3 linked regions of the Bombyx mori genome follow. The main gene of each other region encodes a partner of the protein of the gene in region 2 in a complex. Links are inferred from orthologs where the notes say so. Each region holds a gene or a part of one and is shown on either strand. Other genes may lie near its edges.

What was found.
Region 1: AT-rich interactive domain-containing protein 2 (region 2) and protein polybromo-1 share a complex: the UniProt entries of both Homo sapiens proteins name them as parts of the SWI/SNF-B (PBAF) chromatin remodeling complex. The link is inferred for Bombyx mori from reciprocal best matches to the Homo sapiens genes ARID2 and PBRM1.
Region 3: AT-rich interactive domain-containing protein 2 (region 2) and SWI/SNF-related matrix-associated actin-dependent regulator of chromatin subfamily B member 1-A share a complex: the UniProt entries of both Homo sapiens proteins name them as parts of the SWI/SNF-B (PBAF) chromatin remodeling complex. The link is inferred for Bombyx mori from reciprocal best matches to the Homo sapiens genes ARID2 and SMARCB1.

Annotation. Positions count from the first base shown.
Region 1 is NC_085132.1:4,595,663-4,602,486, forward strand, and holds part of protein polybromo-1, read right to left. Parts: intron 6,678-6,824; coding exon 6,413-6,677; intron 5,890-6,412; coding exon 5,791-5,889; intron 5,313-5,790; coding exon 5,151-5,312; intron 4,583-5,150; coding exon 4,376-4,582; intron 1,201-4,375; coding exon 1,021-1,200; intron 685-1,020; coding exon 536-684; intron 406-535; coding exon 287-405; intron 203-286; coding exon 89-202; intron 1-88. UniProt on the Homo sapiens protein: Involved in transcriptional activation and repression of select genes by chromatin remodeling (alteration of DNA-nucleosome topology). Required for the stability of the SWI/SNF chromatin remodeling complex SWI/SNF-B (PBAF).
Region 2 is NC_085120.1:8,105,681-8,112,504, reverse strand, and holds part of AT-rich interactive domain-containing protein 2, read right to left. Parts: intron 5,781-6,824; coding exon 5,680-5,780; intron 5,125-5,679; coding exon 5,035-5,124; intron 4,050-5,034; coding exon 3,948-4,049; intron 3,400-3,947; coding exon 3,016-3,399; intron 1,313-3,015; coding exon 1,202-1,312; intron 320-1,201; coding exon 183-319; intron 1-182. UniProt on the Homo sapiens protein: Involved in transcriptional activation and repression of select genes by chromatin remodeling (alteration of DNA-nucleosome topology). Required for the stability of the SWI/SNF chromatin remodeling complex SWI/SNF-B (PBAF).
Region 3 is NC_085122.1:12,046,372-12,053,195, reverse strand, and holds part of SWI/SNF-related matrix-associated actin-dependent regulator of chromatin subfamily B member 1-A, read left to right. Parts: intron 1-516; coding exon 517-707; intron 708-1,162; coding exon 1,163-1,325; intron 1,326-1,616; coding exon 1,617-1,764; intron 1,765-2,481; coding exon 2,482-2,693; intron 2,694-4,363; coding exon 4,364-4,540; intron 4,541-4,973; coding exon 4,974-5,112; coding exon of another isoform or gene 5,113-5,120; exon of another isoform or gene 5,121-6,824.

The sequences.
Region 1 (6,824 bases), on a different chromosome or scaffold from region 2:
ACGGGCTCCAGTAACCACTTAACACCAGGTGGACTGTGAGCTCGTCCACCCATCCAAGCAATAAAAATATATATATAAAAAAACACACCGGCCTCTCCTTTTCTTGCACGTTCTCGAGTACTTCTAGCTCGGCCAGCTCGTCTTTGTGCTTCTCGACGCGCTCGCGGAACACGGAGACGGTCCGCTGCGGCTCTAGCGCCACCTATAGACGCATTTCAATTCATTAAAACTAACACAGGTAAATACTCCAATAAATAAAATCAAACGAATTCAGAATTCAGGTTACCTCTCTGGGAACAATCGACACTTCTTTCTCGGAGCCCTCCCAGGCTCTGATCTTTTTGAACCACCTGTGCTTCGTGCTGTACCGACTCTCGCAGACGTAGACGTCTTTGTCAGCGTAGCCTATACAAAATAAAAAATAAAGATTAGATATTTGTGAGACTTGTTTTCATTACAGACGGGCCATTGTGTTGTGAAGTATTGTGCATATTAATGAACTACGAAATCAGATGTTGGTTCACAAGAGGATCACCTTCAGGTCTAAACTTGAAATATTCCTTCACGTTCATAACGTAGCAAGGTCCCACGACGCGGTCCAGGGGCACAGGTTTGTACACATCCGTTTTGAACACTTCTTGTTGGAGGAACTTTCGGGTTCTGATGTGGAATGTCTCTTGAGGTCTGCACAGTTAAAAAATAGTTTAATTTTGCAGCAAAAATATTAATAGGACTGAAGGAAATCAATAATCGTTTAGTTTGTAAACATTCTTGTAAGATTTATTATAAGTCAAAACAATAGTGCGTTAGTTGTAGCAGTTTGAACAGTGCAAAATGTTTTATTTCTTTCCGTGCATTCAAAAGCAACTTTATGAATTTTCCTTTTTTTTTAAATAGGCACATACCCATTCTTCAAATTAAAGTAATTTTTATTTTAGTACACTATTATTATGATCGTTTTTACCTTGTACATTCATAATGGTTATAAGTATATTATTATTAACGTTTACAAATCCTTACCTAAAGTACATGTTGCAATACAGCATAGTTATACCATCGCTGTTAGTCCAAAGTCTTTCTACTTGAACAATATTGAAGTCTTTATTGCCCTTCTCAGGTTGGATGTACAGGAAATCACCTTTCCTGTACTGAGATTGAAGATTGGTATCACCCGACGGCATGGAGTCATCCGTACTCGATCTAGAGAAAGCAAATATTTTTGTGTCCAGAAGGAATGATGTCACTTATCTCAATTTTTTTTTTTTAATATTCTAATCTTATACAAAGAAAGGGGAAGAGGTCGACCGAAGAAGACATGGATGGAGTGTGTGAATGACGATATGAGAGAGAGAGGAGTGAGTGTTGAGATGACGGCTGATAGAAGAGAATGGAAGAGAAAAATTAGCTGTGCCTACCCCACATAGTGGGATAAGGTGGAGAAAAAGAAGATTCTAATCTTATACATTAGTCTAGTCAACAAGTTCAAAAACGTGTTAAATAGACATAAAGCTCCTAAAAATATGTACGATAGCTCATTGGATGCGGAATGATGTCTACAAAAATGTTTTTTAAGGGCTTATTAGCACATAAAAAATTGCGATTGTTATAAACAAAATAAGATTTTAAAAAAAGGAATTTGGTTTTTCCTTAATAATTTCTAAAATAATGATATTTAAGGAATTTTGAAAAAAGATCCTGAAAGAGGAGGAAATTTCCAATAAAAAAGTCCCAACTCCCGGAATTCTATCTCTATTATTTATAAAAAAAAAATAACGCTGAAAATAGCGCTCCGCGAGGTCGCTACGGCATAGGCGCGCAGTCTAAAAAGCCGGTATATCACCTAAAATATTTTTTTTATAGTATTAAATAACAATTTAAAAATTTGAATAAATTATGGTGTAATCTAAACACTTGAAGGAAAAAAACCTCGGTGAAAAAAAAACTTTACATCGATTTTTCAAAAATTTACACCATTGTTAATTAACTAACTTTTTTCCAATCTCTGTTTTTATAAATTACGGTATAAAAGTTACAATAATTCATCTATAAATTTTTCCCTTCGTGGAGCTCTTATCATTTAAGTACTTAATAAAGTTAAGCAAAAAATTTGTTTTAATCTTTAATCATGAAATTTCAAAAAATATCAAAGAAATCATAATTTTTTATAAACAAATGCTTATAACTGATAAACAATAGTTACAGGATCGATTTTGAATTTATTTTAAAGATAAATAAATCCTTTATAAAAATGACCTGAGTGTCCTTTACCGTATCTCTTATAGTTTAAAAGTTATAACAATTTATAACTTGACAAATTATGTAACGGCTGTAATTTCATTATCATATAATATCTAAAAATGCTGTAAAAAATACAAAATTTTTTTTTCTTTATTTTGTTATGTATGGTTGTTTTTATAATTTTTTGTAGTTTTCGAAAAAAAATATAACGATTAATATTAATTTTTTATAACAAATTGTTAAGTTAATAAACAATGAAATTATTTATAAAAAAATGTATTTCTTTGTTAATCCGCTGAAAAGAGTCAATGATGATTTTTAAGAAAAAAATAATTTCTTAACTAATTATTTAAACAATTGAAATATGAAAAAAACGATTTTAAACAATTAAAACATTTATTTAAGAATTTTTTTTTTTCTAAATCTTTATGTCACCTATAGAATAAGACGGTAATTCTTTTTTTTTTTTAATCCCAAAATAGTCTATTTATTTATAAACAATTTCTTAACAAATAGCGTAAAAATTTTTTTTTAAATGTTAATTAAAACCTATGGTAGATGCAAAAACAGCAATATTAAGATAACACGAAAAAAAAAATTTTTTCATAACATTTTTTAGAAATTAAATTTTTTGTTAATTAAAAAAAATTATAATTATCAAAATAATAAAGATTAAAAATTTTTTTTTGCTTAACTTTATTAAGTACTTAAATGATAAGAGCTCCACGAAGGGAAAAATTTATAGATGAATTATTGTAACTTTTATACCGTAATTTATAAAAACAGAGATTGGAAAAAAGTTAGTTAATTAACAATGGTGTAAATTTTTGAAAAATCGATGTAAAATTTTTTTTTCACCGAGGTTTTTTTCCTTCAAGTGTTTAGATTACACCATAAATTATTCAAATTTTTAAATTGTTATTTAATACTATAAAAAAAATATTTTAGGTGATATACCGGCTTTTTAGACTGCGCGCCTATGCCGTAGCGACCTCGCGGAGCGCTATTTTCAGCGTTATATTTTTTTTATAAATAATAGAGATAGAATTCCGGGAGTTGGGACTTTTTTATTGGAAATTTCCTCCTCTTTCAGGATCTTTTTTCAAAATTCCTTAAATATCATTATTTTAGAAATTATTAAGGAAAAATCAAATTCCTTTTTTTTTAAATCTTATTTTGTTTATAACAATCGCAATTTTTTATGTGCTAATAAAGCCCTTAAAAACATTTTTGTAGACATCATTCCGCATCCAATGAGCTATCGTACATATTTTTAGGAGCTTTATGTCTATTTAACACGTTTTTGAACTTGTTGACTAGACTACATAGTAGCTGACAGAAATGTCTGATTATACAAATAACAATTAAGCATTAAAGCAGTAAATTTTAAAGTATTGTGTTTAATAAGATTATGTGTTTAGGCAATTTAGGTAATATTCTTGTTCACAACAGATATTAAAAATGTTTACCGAATTGTTTTTTTCTAAATTTCTTTTTTCAATTTATTTATTTCATATTTATAATACATTCAAGAACTTAGAACTATATTCATGATTTGCAATAACTGTCATTTATTCTTTTTGAAGGGCAGCACCGACAGATAACCTTATAATTATGTATTACCATAAAATATTACCATATAATACTCTCCAAAATTTATAATTATTTAAAATCGATTATTAATTTATAAGTTTCAATATTTTTTTAGTCTATTATATTACGATAACGACGTGTAGAGCTAGTGCGTAGACGATCGACCCCGAGGACTTTTTGGCAGGAACGCAAGTAGTGAAGTTGTGTATTTTGTTTTATTTTGTCTATTTAGTGGTTTATTAACTGTTTAATATATGTGAAAGTGGACAAATTTAGGAAAATGGAACAAAGCCGCTGGACGTAGCTTCTCGAGATCCTCCAAAAAGCCCGCTGAAAAAATCTCAGTAATAAATAACCATCATTTTACTGCGATTATATTTCATTCCATATCATCTCATCTCATTTAATTTAATTTCTATTATCATTTTTCATAAAAATAAGAATATAAATTAAAATAAGACTTGACTAAAAGGTCTTAGTTACCAGGTCACAAATCTCCTAAAAAAAAACGACCCCGCCCGCTACAGGAACTACTAGGAGTTACCTAGTTTCATCCTCATCGTCGTTCTCTTGCAGCAGCTTGCACTGCTTGATGAGCTCGACGCTGGTGGAGACGGTGTCGCGCGTGAAGGTGAGCGCCGGCGACTGCAGCGTGCCGCGGCACAGCGCGTCCCTCTGCTCTATGTAGTAGCACTGCAGCTCGACTGAGTCTTCGAAAATTTGACTATCTGTACGGGAGAGGCGACGTGCTCTGCGAAAATGTTCAAAAACAGATTTTAGATAGCACAATACCACTGCTTGTTTCTGGCGAAAACAGCCTGCATTCTGATTCATAGTCCGGCGCGGCTGTATATAATGCAGTTTAGATTTCTACTCCATGTGTATAGGTGAGTGACGGTCATGTTGTGATGTCTGTGGACACCGCTATTTTTTTATTGCTTAGATGTGTGGGCGAGCTCACAGCCCACCTGGTGTTAAGTGGTTACTGGAGTCCATAGACATCAACAATGTAAATGCGCTACACACCTTGAGATATATGTTCTAAGGTCTCAGTATAGTTACAACGGCTGCCCCACCCTTCAAACAGAAACGCATTACTGCTTCACGGCAGAAATAGGCAGGGTGGTGGTACCTACCCGTGCGGACTCACAAGAGGTGCTGCCACCAATAAACCAGATTTCTACTTCATGTGTATAGGTTAATGACGGTCATGTTGTGGTATCTATAGACACCGCTGTTCATTTAACAGCAGTACGTTACGAGCGGTGCAGCTTACAGATAAATTAGATTAATTAATACTTTTTTTTTTACTTGATTACCTTTCAAACACAGCAAACATATCTTGCTGGAAATGATCCAGTCTCTTGTACAGCCCTTTGTCAAGTCTTCTCTTGACCAAATCCAGCGATATAGCTCGCATCTTCTCGCCATTGTTTGTTTCGTCGTGTTCCGGTAACTCGGCCATGCTGTCTGAGTAACACCTGAACATTTTCAAAATAGAATTCATTATTACACTGAAATATTACTGAAAATCAATAAAATAAAACAAAAATCAGTGTTCAAGTGACAAATTGAGAAAATATCACTTCAAATTTAATGTTTCAAATAATTCACTAATGTGAAGCATTCACTTAATTTAATTTAGAACTTAGGCAATTTAGAAGATCAGATCAGAATAGAGAAGATTAATCAAAAATATTACAAAAATGATTTGACACATGAAATATATTTTATAATGTACATATACAAAATATTAGTAAAAAAGACAGTATAAATATTATCAAAAGTGTCAAAAATAATTAAGAAGATGTATAAGAAGATCAAGAATAATTAAGATGATGAGTGATTAAATATTCAGCGTACTGAATTTCCTCCCAATCATTTTAGTTTTGTAGTAAATCTGATATAACGATACAAGTTTCCTACCATTAAACATTTGGTTTTAACGACTATTCTCACCTCCCCTCTTCATCTTGATGATTGTATACTGTGGTAAAGAGATTCAATAATAGTTCTTGGACAGCGGCTGGAACGTCGGGCACTGCATCGTCGTCTTGACTGTTGACGGAAATATTTTTGTACATTTATTCAATTTAAGTTTTAATGCTCATATATGTATACAACGTGTTACAAAATACTCCGTAAAAAATATAATTAATTATCAAAGACAAAAATTTTGTTAACCCTAGTAAGCTGTCATGTCAGGGAACAAAATTATTTAACAGAAAAGCCTACATACCTATTTTACTTAATAATTGTCTACTCTAATAATTTTTCTATTTTTCAATCATAAATATTTGCTACCTCAATACAAGGATATCATTATACTCAAGTACTGGCTTAAAAAAATGTCAAGTAGGAAAAAAATGTATGTTTTTCATGTAGGTGCACTCTGCGTAGTTTAATATTATAAATGTAAAAGTGAAAGAAGCCGCTGGCACAGTCTAGTGTCTATATATGAAACGTTATTATGTTACTCCCTTTTATAACTTTGATTTATTCAATTTGGCAGTATAAATTCGACATACCTAGGTACGTTAATCATGAAGCTTACTAATTGCTAAAACTTATAAGACTTTACCTTAACATCTGCTTGGTCTGCAGACAGACTCTGTGCAGTATCAAAGCGTCCTTGTAGATCTGCGAGTCGGGCTCATTGTACTTGCAGGCGTTATCGAACATCAGTATGAAATCCGAAGCCAGCTCGTTAACTGAACTGTAACTGTTGCTCTTCAATTTGTGAGCAATCTTCTCCATGTCTATCGGGTTCTTGATGAGCTCATAATAATCAGGGTACTCAGTTTTACTGGGTAGCTTCATGAAGATCAGGGCCAGCTGGCGGTTGGCTGTAATCACAGAGACCACTTTTTTTAAACGGATGAATGGTGGAACAGGAAGAATTTATTTATTGGCACTTCGCAGCAAGTTGGTGAGTTCGTCTACCTACTTGAAGCACTAAAATTAAATTAAAATTCCGGCAATGGAATGAGCTC
Region 2 (6,824 bases):
CTCATATAAATATTAGCTTATCCATTAAGTACATGTATTTTCTTCATGCATAACAAGTTTCAAGTCAGTCGGATGCATGGTTCAGTAGTTATAACGAAACATCCGTAAAAACCACTGTAGATTTATATATATTAGTATAAGATATTTTCAAGGACATGGAATTATTATTGTAGATAACTCACTTGCCGCATCCACTCCAGTGGCAGATCCAAGGTGTGTCGGGGTCGTGCGTGGAGGGAGGCGTGCGCGGACACGGCGGCGGCGGCGGCGGGGGAGGCGGAGTCGCCGTCGACTTGGGCGGTTTCGGCGTTACACTCTTCTAGAAATTACGATAAACGCTACTGAACGAAAACCCGGAGCGGCTTTTCGTGGTATTTGAAAATCGACCTTATTGTTACACGGCGACTGATTAGATTTAATTAGTAATTAGCGAAGAATTAAACAAATTGCAACCGATAAGTACCACTTGTCGAGCCGCAATGGACTACTTCAGATCGCTCTTCATATAAACACGTATTTTCGTTCGAATTGATAAAATAGAAGTAATAGATAAGATGATAAAAAATAGTAGAAAAGTGCTATTGTGGCTAACCGGAACAATGATGGAATAATTGTTGTGAGGACCAATAAGCTAGCTAATAAATAAATTTCTCATTAATCAACATTCGTTTTGAAAACTCATATGCGAAATAAATAATTACTTTAAGACACAAATAGAAAATTAAAACAGATTTTGTCAAAATGACAACACCATCAATATAGTTGAAATATGCATTATTGAGGGTAACTCAAAAACTACCAGTTGAATTTTGATAAAATTTAAATGTGACTGCATGTGAAGAACAAGCACAACGATTTAAAGAAGAGCTATCAAAATTGGACCACCTAGACCAGCCTTTCCCAAAGTGGGCGATAACATCCTCGTGTGGGCGCTGCAGGCCTAAAGGGTGGCGGTAAGAGACCCAGAAAAAAAACGGGGGCGTTGTGTAGGGGCTTGGGAGGTGATTTATAATTTTATCTAGGAGGACTCCCAGACACCGACGAGCTCTCCCTATAGTGGTTTTTAAATAGGTGAAAAAAATGGGGTCGCTTAAAATAATTTATTCTCAAAGTGGGCAGTAGACAAAATAAGTTTGGGAACCCCTGACCTAGCCGAATTGAGAAACTTTCTTTTTGAAAGTCTGTTAAAATGTCGTGATACCTCGGGAGTTACCGGCTGCGTCACAACTAGCTCCTTATCGCCGATCTTCGTGTTGCCAACCATCACCGGTTGCCGGGTGATCACCTGCCTCATTGCTTGTGCCTGGACTTTCTGTAAATAAAAAAATAATATTTAATTTATTTCTCCCTGTCCTAACATCTATACTAATATATAAATCTACATTGGTTTTTACGGATGTTCCGTTATAACCATGCATCCGATTGACTTGAAACTTGGTATCCATGTAGAAAATACATGTACTTAATGGAAATGCTAATATTTATATGAGTGTTGGATACCCTACACCAGTTGCGGGGGCGTTAATGATGACAATTTTTGTGGGGGTGAAAAATAATAATGCTAAATTTAAATGCCCAACGAAGCAGACGGGTACAGCTAATATACTATAATTATGGTTAACGTATCATAGTTTACCGAGATATTACTTACTTCTAGATATAGTGAGCTTAGTGCGAGTTCTTTAACGTTCTCGATAGCGTAAAAGTTAACATAAATTTGTATGGAGTTGGAACGTTTGCCTACGTTTGCCACTAGAGGCGGTGTTCCAATTCCATACAAATTTGAGTTAACTTTTACGCTATCGGGAATGTTAACAAAACTCGCACTAAATCCACAGATCAAAGGCTTTCTATAAACACAAACCCACAAAAAAATGCGAGTTTGCGTAATTAATAGCAGTAATGTGTGGGCCCGCACAGTTCGGTGCAATTATTGTTTTATATTATTTTGTATTGCTTCTAAATGGGTGAACGAACTGACAGTTTAGCCGATGCTAATGATTTACCGGAGCCCGAAGACGACTACAAAGTAAATACCGTCACCCACCAGTTCTAATTTTCAGTTTTACAGCACAATGGCTGCCCCACCCTTCGAATCGGAAAGTATTACTGCTTCGCGGCAGTAAAGTACCCACCCGCGCGCGGGTACATCACTACATATCTATCTCGAACGAAGCAGTTATGCGACTTTTTGGCGGGAACGCGACGAGTAAAGTTGTGTGATTTGTTTTATGTTATCTATTTAGTGTTTCTTCGGGTTTAAATGTGTAATAACAGTGGTTAATTAACTGTTTAATATTTGTGAAAGTGCACAAATGTGGGAAAATGAAACAAAGCCGCTGGACGTAGCTTCTCGGGATCCTCCAGAAAGTCCACTGAAAAAATCTCCGTAAATGACCATCATTTTACTGAGATTATATTTCATCCCATATCATCTCTCAAATGAATCATATTCATTCCATTTCACTCCATATTATAATTTTTCATAAAAATAAGAATATTAATTATTATAAGACATGACCTAAAGGTCGTAGTTACCAACCAGGTCATAAAATCCCTCAAAAAAAAAAAGAAGCAGTTATGCGTTCGGTTTTAAAGCATCGAACATTTGTGAGAACACAATTCAGACTTCGACTTCATGTATTGAGGTAGAGGGCAATCGCTTTACAATGTCTATAGACGCTGATAGCCGCTTATCAGAAGATGCTTCGTGAGATTGAATCTAAATGCATTAGAGCTACATGCCGTAGAGGTAGGCCAGGGCAATCGCGCTGTTCAACAAATTTCTGTCCGAAATCCAGGATGCTGACGTGTTTGCCGATAGTTGGGGAATACTTTTTTCCAAAATAATGTTATCTTTAGCATAATAATAATACTTAATAATTTTAATAATGTTTTTTATGTTAACGAGTTAGGCGTTTTGGTGCAAACTGTAAGCCTGACTTTGTATTGAATGGAATGAACAAAATAAATAAATAAAAATTAGAAAAGGAACTAATTGTCTCTAGAACTTACCGCGCCGCTCTGAATGACTGTATTCTTGGTGTCAGTCTGCACAACGGATGCCGGAGTCGCCATCGGTTGGTTCACGACTTGACTCCTCTGAGGTTGCACGACTCTGTGAACGTTCGCCTTCAGCGGTGCACTCATCAGCACGGGCTGGTTGTTCGACACCGATATAAGCTGTTGCCCCCCTTGGAGCAATTGCTGGTTCCCCTGAATCAGTTGCTGGGTGCCCTGCATCATTTGGTTGCTGGTCGACGTGGTGATAAGAGTGGGAGGTTGCTTCTGGGTCACAACTATCTGTTGCGCTTGAGGTTGACTAACGATTTGAGCCTTGTGGGGCTGCGGTTGGGTCGTTATTATCGGTTGCTGGCTTGGAGTTATTTGAGGGGCGTTCTGTAAGTTTAGGGGAGGCGTTAGAGAAATAAAACATTTTTCATTTACGAAATTTTCAAATAATTGATACAAAGCCGTTTGATTTCGATAATTAGAATACTAAGAAGCAAAATCACCAGTAAATGAAAACCGTATCTAAATGAATACAAATTCAGGATATTAACTTTTTTTCCCCCAGAAACATGACATGCCTTCAAATATTTTAAGTAAAAAAAAAAACTTTCATCTACACATTTAATAAAAAGCTTTCGTTTCATGCACAAAACCAAGATATACGCGAATTTGATACAATGGAAATTAGGAACATCAAAAACACTTAGATTACAATTCATCTATTGCCTAATGAGAATCAAAGCAAAATTCTACCTTAACCCTTCATTCTGAAAGACGCAACATGTTCTAGAAGCTACTTTTTCACTTAGCACTCTGTCCTGCTCGCACTTTTACATTCAACTTCATGCGAGAGCAGGATAACTATATTTTTAGTACTCTTTTTTTTTAACCATTCTAATGGATGCATAATTAAGAATATCAAATGATGCATGAACCTGAGCAATGGCAGTCTTCACAACGGTTATCGGCTGTGAAGTGCTCACTAGTGTTGGCTGACTGACAATAACCCTCTGGGTCGACTGTATCACTCCAGTATTCTGTACGTTCAAAATTATACTTTATTTCTATAAAATTAGGGTATAAAATACTTTGATGCATAATTTCGAGTCATGTTGACTTCAAAATATCAAAGAACTCATCAGAATTTAATACCATACGAGTGTTTTTTAAACTTTAGACAGTAAATTATAGATCTCTGTCGGAACAATGCCAACTTAATAATGCCAAATAAAAAAATATTCTTTTATTTATATCTGAATTTGTTTAAAATTTGAGCTCTCTCTCTCTCTCTATTTTGATGTAGCGCAATAAAATTTAGTCACTTTTTACTGTGTTATAGAGCTCATTTTCCAGTCGCACAACTTTAATTAAGCACAAAATCATTTAAATCCTGCAACCATAAATGAAACCAACTGATGAATAAAATCAAGAAGAAAACGATGATATTTGCAGATGAGAAATGAATGAAATATGATTTACGTTAGAGGAAACGCATAGAATTTTTCAAGTCTTTTACTGGCTTAAATCTTTAATTAAATAAAGATAAATATTTATTTTGTGTTTCTGACTATACTACTATCAAATAAATATATTCATAATATTACACAGTTCATCAATGTTGCAAACTGTACATTGTTTGTAATTATACTAATATCAGACCCAACAGATGATAACTCGATTATAATGAAAATTATTGTTATTTAAACACACATTTAACGGGCTCGAGCTTGACGTTAGCTTCTTCACCGGCACAGGATACACAGACATACAGCCAAACGAATACCAAACATCGCTGGCACAGTACCAAGCCAAGGAGAGGTGATCTTATCGAAAATTAGTAAAAGCATTATGACATGAATAGATTTTGTTAATACAACGCTGTTATTACATGTAAATTTGTAAAAAAATATATATACTTTAAAAACAAAAAGGAAAATGAACGATTAGCATGAACGAATGAGAACCCATAGACAACAGAAATTAGTACTAGCGATACTTTTTGGTCATGTTTTATTTTTTAACCTGTATTATTTGTTGTTGAGTCAATGCTTCGGTCGCTTGCGCTATTAGACTGTTTAGCGTGCCTTCGTCCAAGCCGCCAGGGTTGTTCACCTTACATATGAAAATTTAATTATCCTTTTAAATTGGTTAACTGTAACTATTGAACATTCGGGTTTTGTAACTACAAACATAAGCACGTTCGTCCTTTATATAAGAGCAAAATAGCCGCTATCCTAATACCGATAAGGCTTAATTTTCATATGACAAGTTTAACGATGTTATTCTTTTTGCGATGTCTATGTGCCCCGACATAAAATTACTTTACAACAAATTTGAACAAATTTGAATTTCCTAATATATCCAGAGAAATTAATGCTCTAATGCTGATTATATCAGATGATTGATCAGAATTTAAAAATCGACAAACACGTGACCCTTAAATTGGTTCGTGACAGCCCTAAGTACAAAACGCACACGGCATTCAGTTGACATTAAATTTTGATAAATTCTACATGGAGACATGTGAAGCATATTTAATTCCACATGAATTTTATCATCTCGTGTCATTATCATATACAAACGTACATAATTAAAAAGTTTTGTTTTGTACTTATGACATTTTTGCTGACACCAATAATTGATCATGCTGATGTGTTTCAAGCTTACCGTGAGCGTCAGCGGTCCACCCCCGGCTGGACCCTGAACGATTATTATAGTCTTCTGCATCATATTGCTCGGCAGATTCTGGGTGATGTAACTCAGACCTGCTGAAACACACAACGAATCGTCACGAGGAACCTGTGACAGATGCTGTGTCATAAGAACCGGTTTGCAGGGCAGCCGGTAATGAAGACTCCGACCTGGTGCCTGAACAAGGTATCTATTTACTGGTGGTAGGACCTCTTGTGAGTCCGCACGGGTAGGTATCACCACCCTGCCTATTTCAGCCGTGAAGCAGTAATGCGTTTCGGTTTGAAGGGTGGGCAGCCATTGTAACTGAATATGCAATTTCGAAAGGGCACATCTCGGAAAATGTAAAATGTTCAGGAACTGAAAAAAAACTCATTCTTTTCTAAAGCAGTGTAAAATTTAAAAAACTAACTTTTGAGATATATTTTAGTGTTAATTAGCAATTGAAAATTACTGGAATTATTATAAAATGGGTGTAGGTAAGCCTCAAAAGTACATGTATATGAAAAACGTATTTGACAAAATATGCGACATGTGCCCTTTTCGAAATTGCATATTCAACTATACTTTAGACCTTAGAATTTATATCTCGAGGTGGGTGGCGCATTTACGTTGTAGATATCTATGGGCTCCAGTGCCCACTTAACACTAGGTAGGCTGTGAGCTCATCCACCCATCTAAGCAATAAAAAAAAAGAATCAAATATAGATAACACAGAATTTTGTATTTTATTCTAAAAGCCATTTTTAACATGCATTTTTATAGCCTAATATCTTCTTTTTTTTATTACTTATATGGGTGGACGATCTCACAGCCCACCTGGTGTTAAGTGGTTTTTTTCGTCTTTACTCGTCTCTTCAAGGCAAGATAATAAGTAACATTCTATGCCTGAACTAAAAATTTCGCGGAAGAGCCGCAGCCTCAAAGAGACTTATGGGACTCGTGTTAAGTGGTCACCGGCGCCCATAGACATCAACAACGTAAATGCCGTCGCCCACCTTGTGACATGAGTTCTAATTCTCCGTTTTGAGATTGAGATACAAAGGGTGCCGCATCCTTCAAACCGAAACTCAAGACTGCTTCGTGGCAGCAATGGGCGGGACGGTGGTGCCTACCCGTGG
Region 3 (6,824 bases), on a different chromosome or scaffold from region 2:
CTTAAGATACCATACTGTACTTTTTATCTTTTTTCTGTATCTAGTTGCATAATTCAGTGTTCATGTGAAGTTTCTCACTATAATCTTCTATTCTACAGTAGAACTTTCTAAAGCGCCATTATGAATTATATTGAATAAGTAAACGACAGTGATTGCTTGCAGTGCAAATTAAAACAAGTTGTGGCACCCAATGCTGTTTCTGCTCTTATTTTTTTAGATGAGCAATGATGTATTTTCTTCAGTGTTTCTGAATTGTATAAAAAAAGGTCTAATTTCATATTTATTATATTCATTTCATTATCATTTTTCATGGCATATTAACACTGTTCTAACTACTGTAAATTGTTATGACAAAAAATTTAAATGATTAAACAATAACAGTGGTTTTAATTAAAAGCAATGCAAAATTATATTGTGGTGTCGAAAACAGCAGTTTTAACTTGAGATTTCCAGATTTTGTATTTTGATTAGTCTTATGCCCGCTTAAAAATGCAAAAAAATTAACTATTGCCTTAGGTCGGGAATTACCTGCGCTTGTTCCGTGGGTCACTCTACAAGAAGTACCCTGGCATGTGCCGGCGTACCCTCACCAATGAAGAACGTAAGCGATTAATTGACAACGGTCTTGGTCCTCATGTGCTGTCCAGTTCAGTTTCACTGTTGAAGGCGTCAGAAGTTGAAGACATTATTGAAGGGAATGATGATAAGTACGTCATTATAAACATTTTGTGAACTATTGAAAGCGGTTAAAACCGACAATTGCTGTGTTAGCATAGACAGGTGAACGAGTTCATAATCCATCTGATGATAAGTGAAGCTACCTGAAGTAGTCAGTCGAAATATTAGACCTTTAAGTTTTGGTGAGCACCTGGCACTATTGAAGTCCACGAACGACATTAACCACTTACCATCAGAAGAATTGTATGTTTGTCTTATTTTAAGGACAATAAAAAAAAAAACAAAATGTGTGCATATCTTTCTTCTTCATCGCTCCCTCATTGCTGAGGATTGTGACTCTGTTTCAGCTGTGCCAGTCTCCATCGGTTCTGGTCAGTTGCTGTGTGCATATCAAGGAAATCTTAAATACTATGAATTGTATATGAAACAGCAGTTGTCCATTAAACTATTTACAGCTATGACACAGCTTTAAATTAATTTATAGATACAAAGCAGTGTCCGTCAGCCAAGAGTTGGCGACACCCCGTGAGAGCAAAAGCAAGAAGCCACACACTCCATCATGGCTGCCAGTCATGCCAAACTCTTCTCATTTGGATGCTGTACCCCAGGCTACTCCAATCAGCAGGAGTAGGGTGCATAATAAGAAGGTAAAATGGATGTTAAAGTCAAAACTTAAAGTCCAGTTGGGCTTCAGGTTCTGACTCCTAGGTTTATCTAGTTAATCATGTTTGACATGGGGCCACACTCTAAGGTCAACACAACACATTTAATTTAGCTTCTGATTCAGGATAGATAGATAAGATAGATAGAATATCTCAAAATCAGAGACACATCGTAAGATAAATAACAGATTTTGAAATGGAACATTGGAATTAATGTAATATACTATAGTTCTAAAGTATCATTATTAAAACTAGCATAAAATGAATACTTTTCAGGTGAGAACATTCCCACTGTGTTTCGATGACACAGACATGACTGCAATGCTGGAGAATGCTTCGCAAAAGCAGGTGCTTGTACCGATTCGATTGGACATGGAGATTGAGGGTCAAAAACTCAGGGATACATTTACATGGAATAAAAATGGTATGTTTAACTGCATTTGTTACCAATTCTGGTTGTTTATTCTCAATTTTTGATTTCAGAAAGTATTTGAATAATAGAATGTGTAATTGCTGTCTACCAAATTATAAATAGATTGGCTGTATTTACTGTGAATTGTATCGACTGTCAATTGAAAATATATAATAACATTTTCTTATATCTTTAACTATAACTATTCTTTATAAAGTTCTTTAATCATGCTTAATGAAAATTGTTGGTCTGCAGTAAGTGTTGAAGATCAGGAGGACCTTGTCCAACTGTCTTGGATCACAGAACAGTTCCAATGCGCCCTGCAAATTTGGTTAAAATATTTTTAATGTTTTATCGTTTTCATTCTATATTGTTCTTTTAGCACAACCCTTACATAAATTTAGGAATACGCTCCTTAATTTTTATATCCATAATGTGTATGTTCCCACTTTTTTTTCCTGCCTAAGCTGATAGCCTTGAGAGGCTATATCAGCGTTGCCTTAACTAGTAGGTGAGCTCACGGGGCTCAAACGTGATGACGTTGTTAACACGAACGCTAGCAAGAGCCGTGTGCTTCGCAGAATCTACCACCAGATCGGAAACGCGACCCACTGAGAAGATCCGGCGAGAAACTCAGTGGGCTGTGTCTGAGGCTTTTTCTCACAAGGATTGCAGGCAGCCTATTAACAAGTTTTTGAATAAATAAAAAATTGGAGGATTGTTTTCCAGAATCAATAATAACACCAGAACAGTTTGCCGAGGTGCTGTGCGATGATTTAGAGTTGAACACGAGCACCTTCATACCTGCTGTGGCCTCCTCGATCCGGCAACAGATCGATGCCTTCCCGAGCGAGCCTCCCCCCATACTGGAGGAGCATACCGACCAGAGGGTCCTCGTCAAACTCAATATACACGTTGGAAACACTTCGTTGGTAGATCAGGTAGGTTCAAGTTACAAAGAAAACTCAAATAATTAATATAGAAGATGTAATTGACATGTGTAATAAGTAGAGGTCGGAGTAGGTAGATTGATTTAAGGTCGTTGACGTCAAACGTAGAAGATAATATGGATACGCCTCCAAAATACCGGAACTTCATATTTATTGTGATATTTGTTCCGGAATTTTGAAATTAGCTGGAATCTGTGTTTGAGGTGAAAAACGCGTTAATAATATTAATCTACGCTACCAGTTGTGGCGGGTAGCCATCATACAACGCAAGATAATTGACAGATGCCTGAATCTCGCTTACGACATTTTCAAGATAAAGCGCATATATACAAGTTCCGAACAACAACATTTGGACCGTCGGTCTACCGAGCAATATCATCTGCTCGGTGGAAGATCTTCCCTTTGTCGTATATATCCCTACACAGTCTTAGCTAATGGTGAAAGAAATCTGTATTTTATTTTATACAAAAACACCTTGGAATATATTTTGTCCCTTTCTGTTGACTTAGAAATGACGCTTGTCAGTATGAGACAAAATTTAGACAGGGCTTTTTGTTACTTTATCTCATAAATAAAGAAATTGTATCCGATGAGGCTTAAAAATGTTTTTTTTTCCATTAAAAAAAAAACCATTATGGATAAAATGACATGTCCATATTGTAATATCTTGACACAAGTATATAAAATCAATCTACCTACTCCAACCACTGGTAATGAGTGTGAATGTTTACTCACAACACAATAAATCATTGCTCACATGGAAAAGCGAATGAGAATTTGACATTTGAATATTTTTAGTAATTTTAAAATTTAAAGTTATTTTTTATTGCACAAATGGTTGGACGAGCTCATAGTTCACCTGGTGTTAAGTGGTTACTGAAGCCCATAAACATCTACAACGTAGATGTCGCCACCCACCTTGAGATATGAGTTCTAAGGCCACAGTATAGTCACAACGACTATCCCACTTTTCAAACCGAAACGCATTATTGCTTCACGGCAGAAATAGGCGGGGTGGTGGTACCTAACCGCGCGGAATCAAAAGGTTTTACCGTCACTAAATATTATACAAAAATTATTATTCAATATAATAAAGGGACTAGCGGACTCGACAGACGTCCTGCAAAATTCATTCAAGTCGATCCAGCCGTTTAGTTGTAGTATAGATAAATAACCTAGATACCGCCTGTAGCGCCATCTGCCGGGCTGATTTGTGAATCTAAACCATCCAGGGTGCCACCCAAACGCATACAAAAAAAACATTCAAATCGGTCCAGCCGTTTAGGAGGAGCTCAGTGACATACACACGCATAGAAGAAATCTATAAGTCTATACTAATATATAAATCTACAGTGGTTTTTACGGATGTTCCGTTATAACTACTGAACCATACATCCGATTGACTTGAAACTTGGTATCCATGTAGAAAATACATGTACTTAATGGATAGGCTAATATTTATATGAGTGTTGGACTCCCTACACCAGTTGGGGGCGTTAATGATGAGAATCTTTGGGGGGGTGAGAAATAATAATGTTAATTTTAAATAGCCAGCGAAGCGGTCGGGTACAGCTAGTATATATATATATATATACACTTTATATATAAAGATTACGCTGGATATTTGCTATTTGGTATTGAATGTGTGTCTGGTGTACCAGGTGGAGTGGGACATGGCCGAGAAGGAGAACAACCCGGAGCAGTTCGCGATGAAGCTGTGCTCGGAGCTGGGCCTCGGCGGGGAGTTCGTGACCGGCATCGCGTACTCCGTGCGCGGGCAGCTCGGCTGGCACCAGCGGACCTACGCCTTCAGCGAGGCGCCCCTACCCGTGGTCGAGGTGCGCACCACATACATGCTACTTTTTTTTTTCCTACCCATGCTGATAGCCTTGAGAGGCTACTTCAGCTTCTTGGAACTCTTTGGAACCTCTGGATCTGCAGAGGGACTTCGGCTCCTTCTGTATTTTGTACCGTATGTTCCGTGAGGAGTGCTCTGAGGAATTGTTTGAGATGATACAATTTTTACCGGTGGTAGGACCTCTTGTGAGTCCGCATGGGTAGGCACCACCACCCTGCCTAATTCTGTTGTGAAGCAGTAATGCGTTTCGGTTTGAAGGATGGGGCAGCCGTTGTACCTATACAGAGACCTAAGAACTTATATCTCAAGGTGTGTGGCGCATTTACCAACTCCAAAAAACCAACTCTTTTATTATTAAGTCCCCGGAGTTCGATTACCATTTGTCATTTGAACATCCTCGAATTGTCACACAGACGCCGTACCGCGTCCCGTCGGAGGCCGAGCAGTGGGCCCCGCACCTCGAGACCCTCACCAACGCGGAGATGGAGAAGAAGATCCGGGACCAGGACCGGAACACCAGGCGCATGCGGAGGCTCGCCAACACCGCGCCCGGTTGGTAACGCCACCACCACTCGCGGAGCCGCACAGGCCCCAGGGACGAGCGGAAAATGCAATCCCGGTGACTTGTAATTGAGGCAGTCAGCGCAAAAGTATCCTAAGTAGAGATGAAACGGATATCCGGTAACTATCCGGTATCCGGCCTATCCGGCCATGTTTTCACTATTTTTTCACACAAAAAGTCCCGTTGTTAAGATTTTCACATAATACATTAGCTAAGTAATCTTATACCTTTAAACGAGCAATTCTTGTATATTAATATATATATAATCTGAATATCGGAAACGGCTCCAACGATTTTCATAAAATTTAGTATACAGGGGATTTCGGGGGCGATAAATCGATCTAGCTACGATTTATTTTCAGAAAATGTTGTTTTATTCGTGTTTTCAATAATCAACTCTTCCCGACATCTATTGGCGAATAATAATCCTATTTTTTTAATTGAGGGCAACTAACCTCTTTAAAGACACTAAGATGGCGTTGTCAAAAAAAAAAACCGAGCAAAGCTCTGTCATCATCTAGTATTTTTATTATTTAAGACACCGCCTCAGTATGAGGTGAGTAGTCTGTGGGAGCAAGCAAAGGGGACATGGCTTTTTAATTGTCTTTTGTTTCAAAATACATTAAATTTCTCATTCATATCTTAGTTTAAACTGAAATGATATACTGTTTATTTAAATTAATTAGTCTACATTACATTTGCGCAGTTAAATCTAGTCTGGGAGTTAAGTTACCTAACTCGTCGGATCCAGTTGGCTTTGTTACCAAAAGTGCTTTAATGTTTGGATGTGAGACCTGGAAAATAAAGATGAAACGGATATCCGGTAACGGCCGGATAGTGAAAACATGGCCGGATACCGGATAGTAAATCACTATCCGGCCGGATTTCGGATAGTAAAATTTAAGAAAATCTCATGGCTATACAAAAGGCAATTAATACCACAATAAATAGTTTATTGGACAACTTTTATTTTTATAATCGCACGTCAAATGTGATTGTTTTATCAATTAGTTTGTTTAATACTCAAAATTAACAAGTGGTAAATTGTGGTGAATGAATACCGAATCGTCGTCGTACCGAGTCGTCGCGATCTCCGCTCACGTGCGACAACACCCGAACGCGCACGAATATTTCCGAAAGTTGATTTGTAGCTTTAATTTCATTTGATTTGAAAAAAAGGGCCGAATATTCGGTATCCAGTATCCGACCAAACCACTATCCGTTTCATCTCTAGTCCTTAGCTTATCATAGTTAGTATGGAGATAATGAGGTTGTTTACAAAGCCATCTGTTCTCTATGGGTGAGACTAGGGACAGGCCGGTTTTGCATCAAAATTTATTACCTTTTAAATAAATTACAATATATAAGCGCGAATATGACAAATTGTGGGTTAGGCCCCTTTTGCGCTGTCGGTCTCAATTTACCTCGATCCTCGCTGATGACGCGCAGGTTGTGACGTCACCAGCGAGACTCGAGTATGAACAAACAAAATGAACATCATTTTTATACTCTATTCCAATTACGAAGTCCCTTTTGACTTACCTAAACTGAGTGTCTAGAGCAGCGGTCGGGGAACTTTTTTAATTATTACCCCAAAATTTTTTTGTGTATGTTGATATTACCCCATGGCGAAGAACAAAAAAAACGAAATCGCTTCTTTTTAGCATCTTTCATATTATAGCTCTCATGAATAATAATTTGA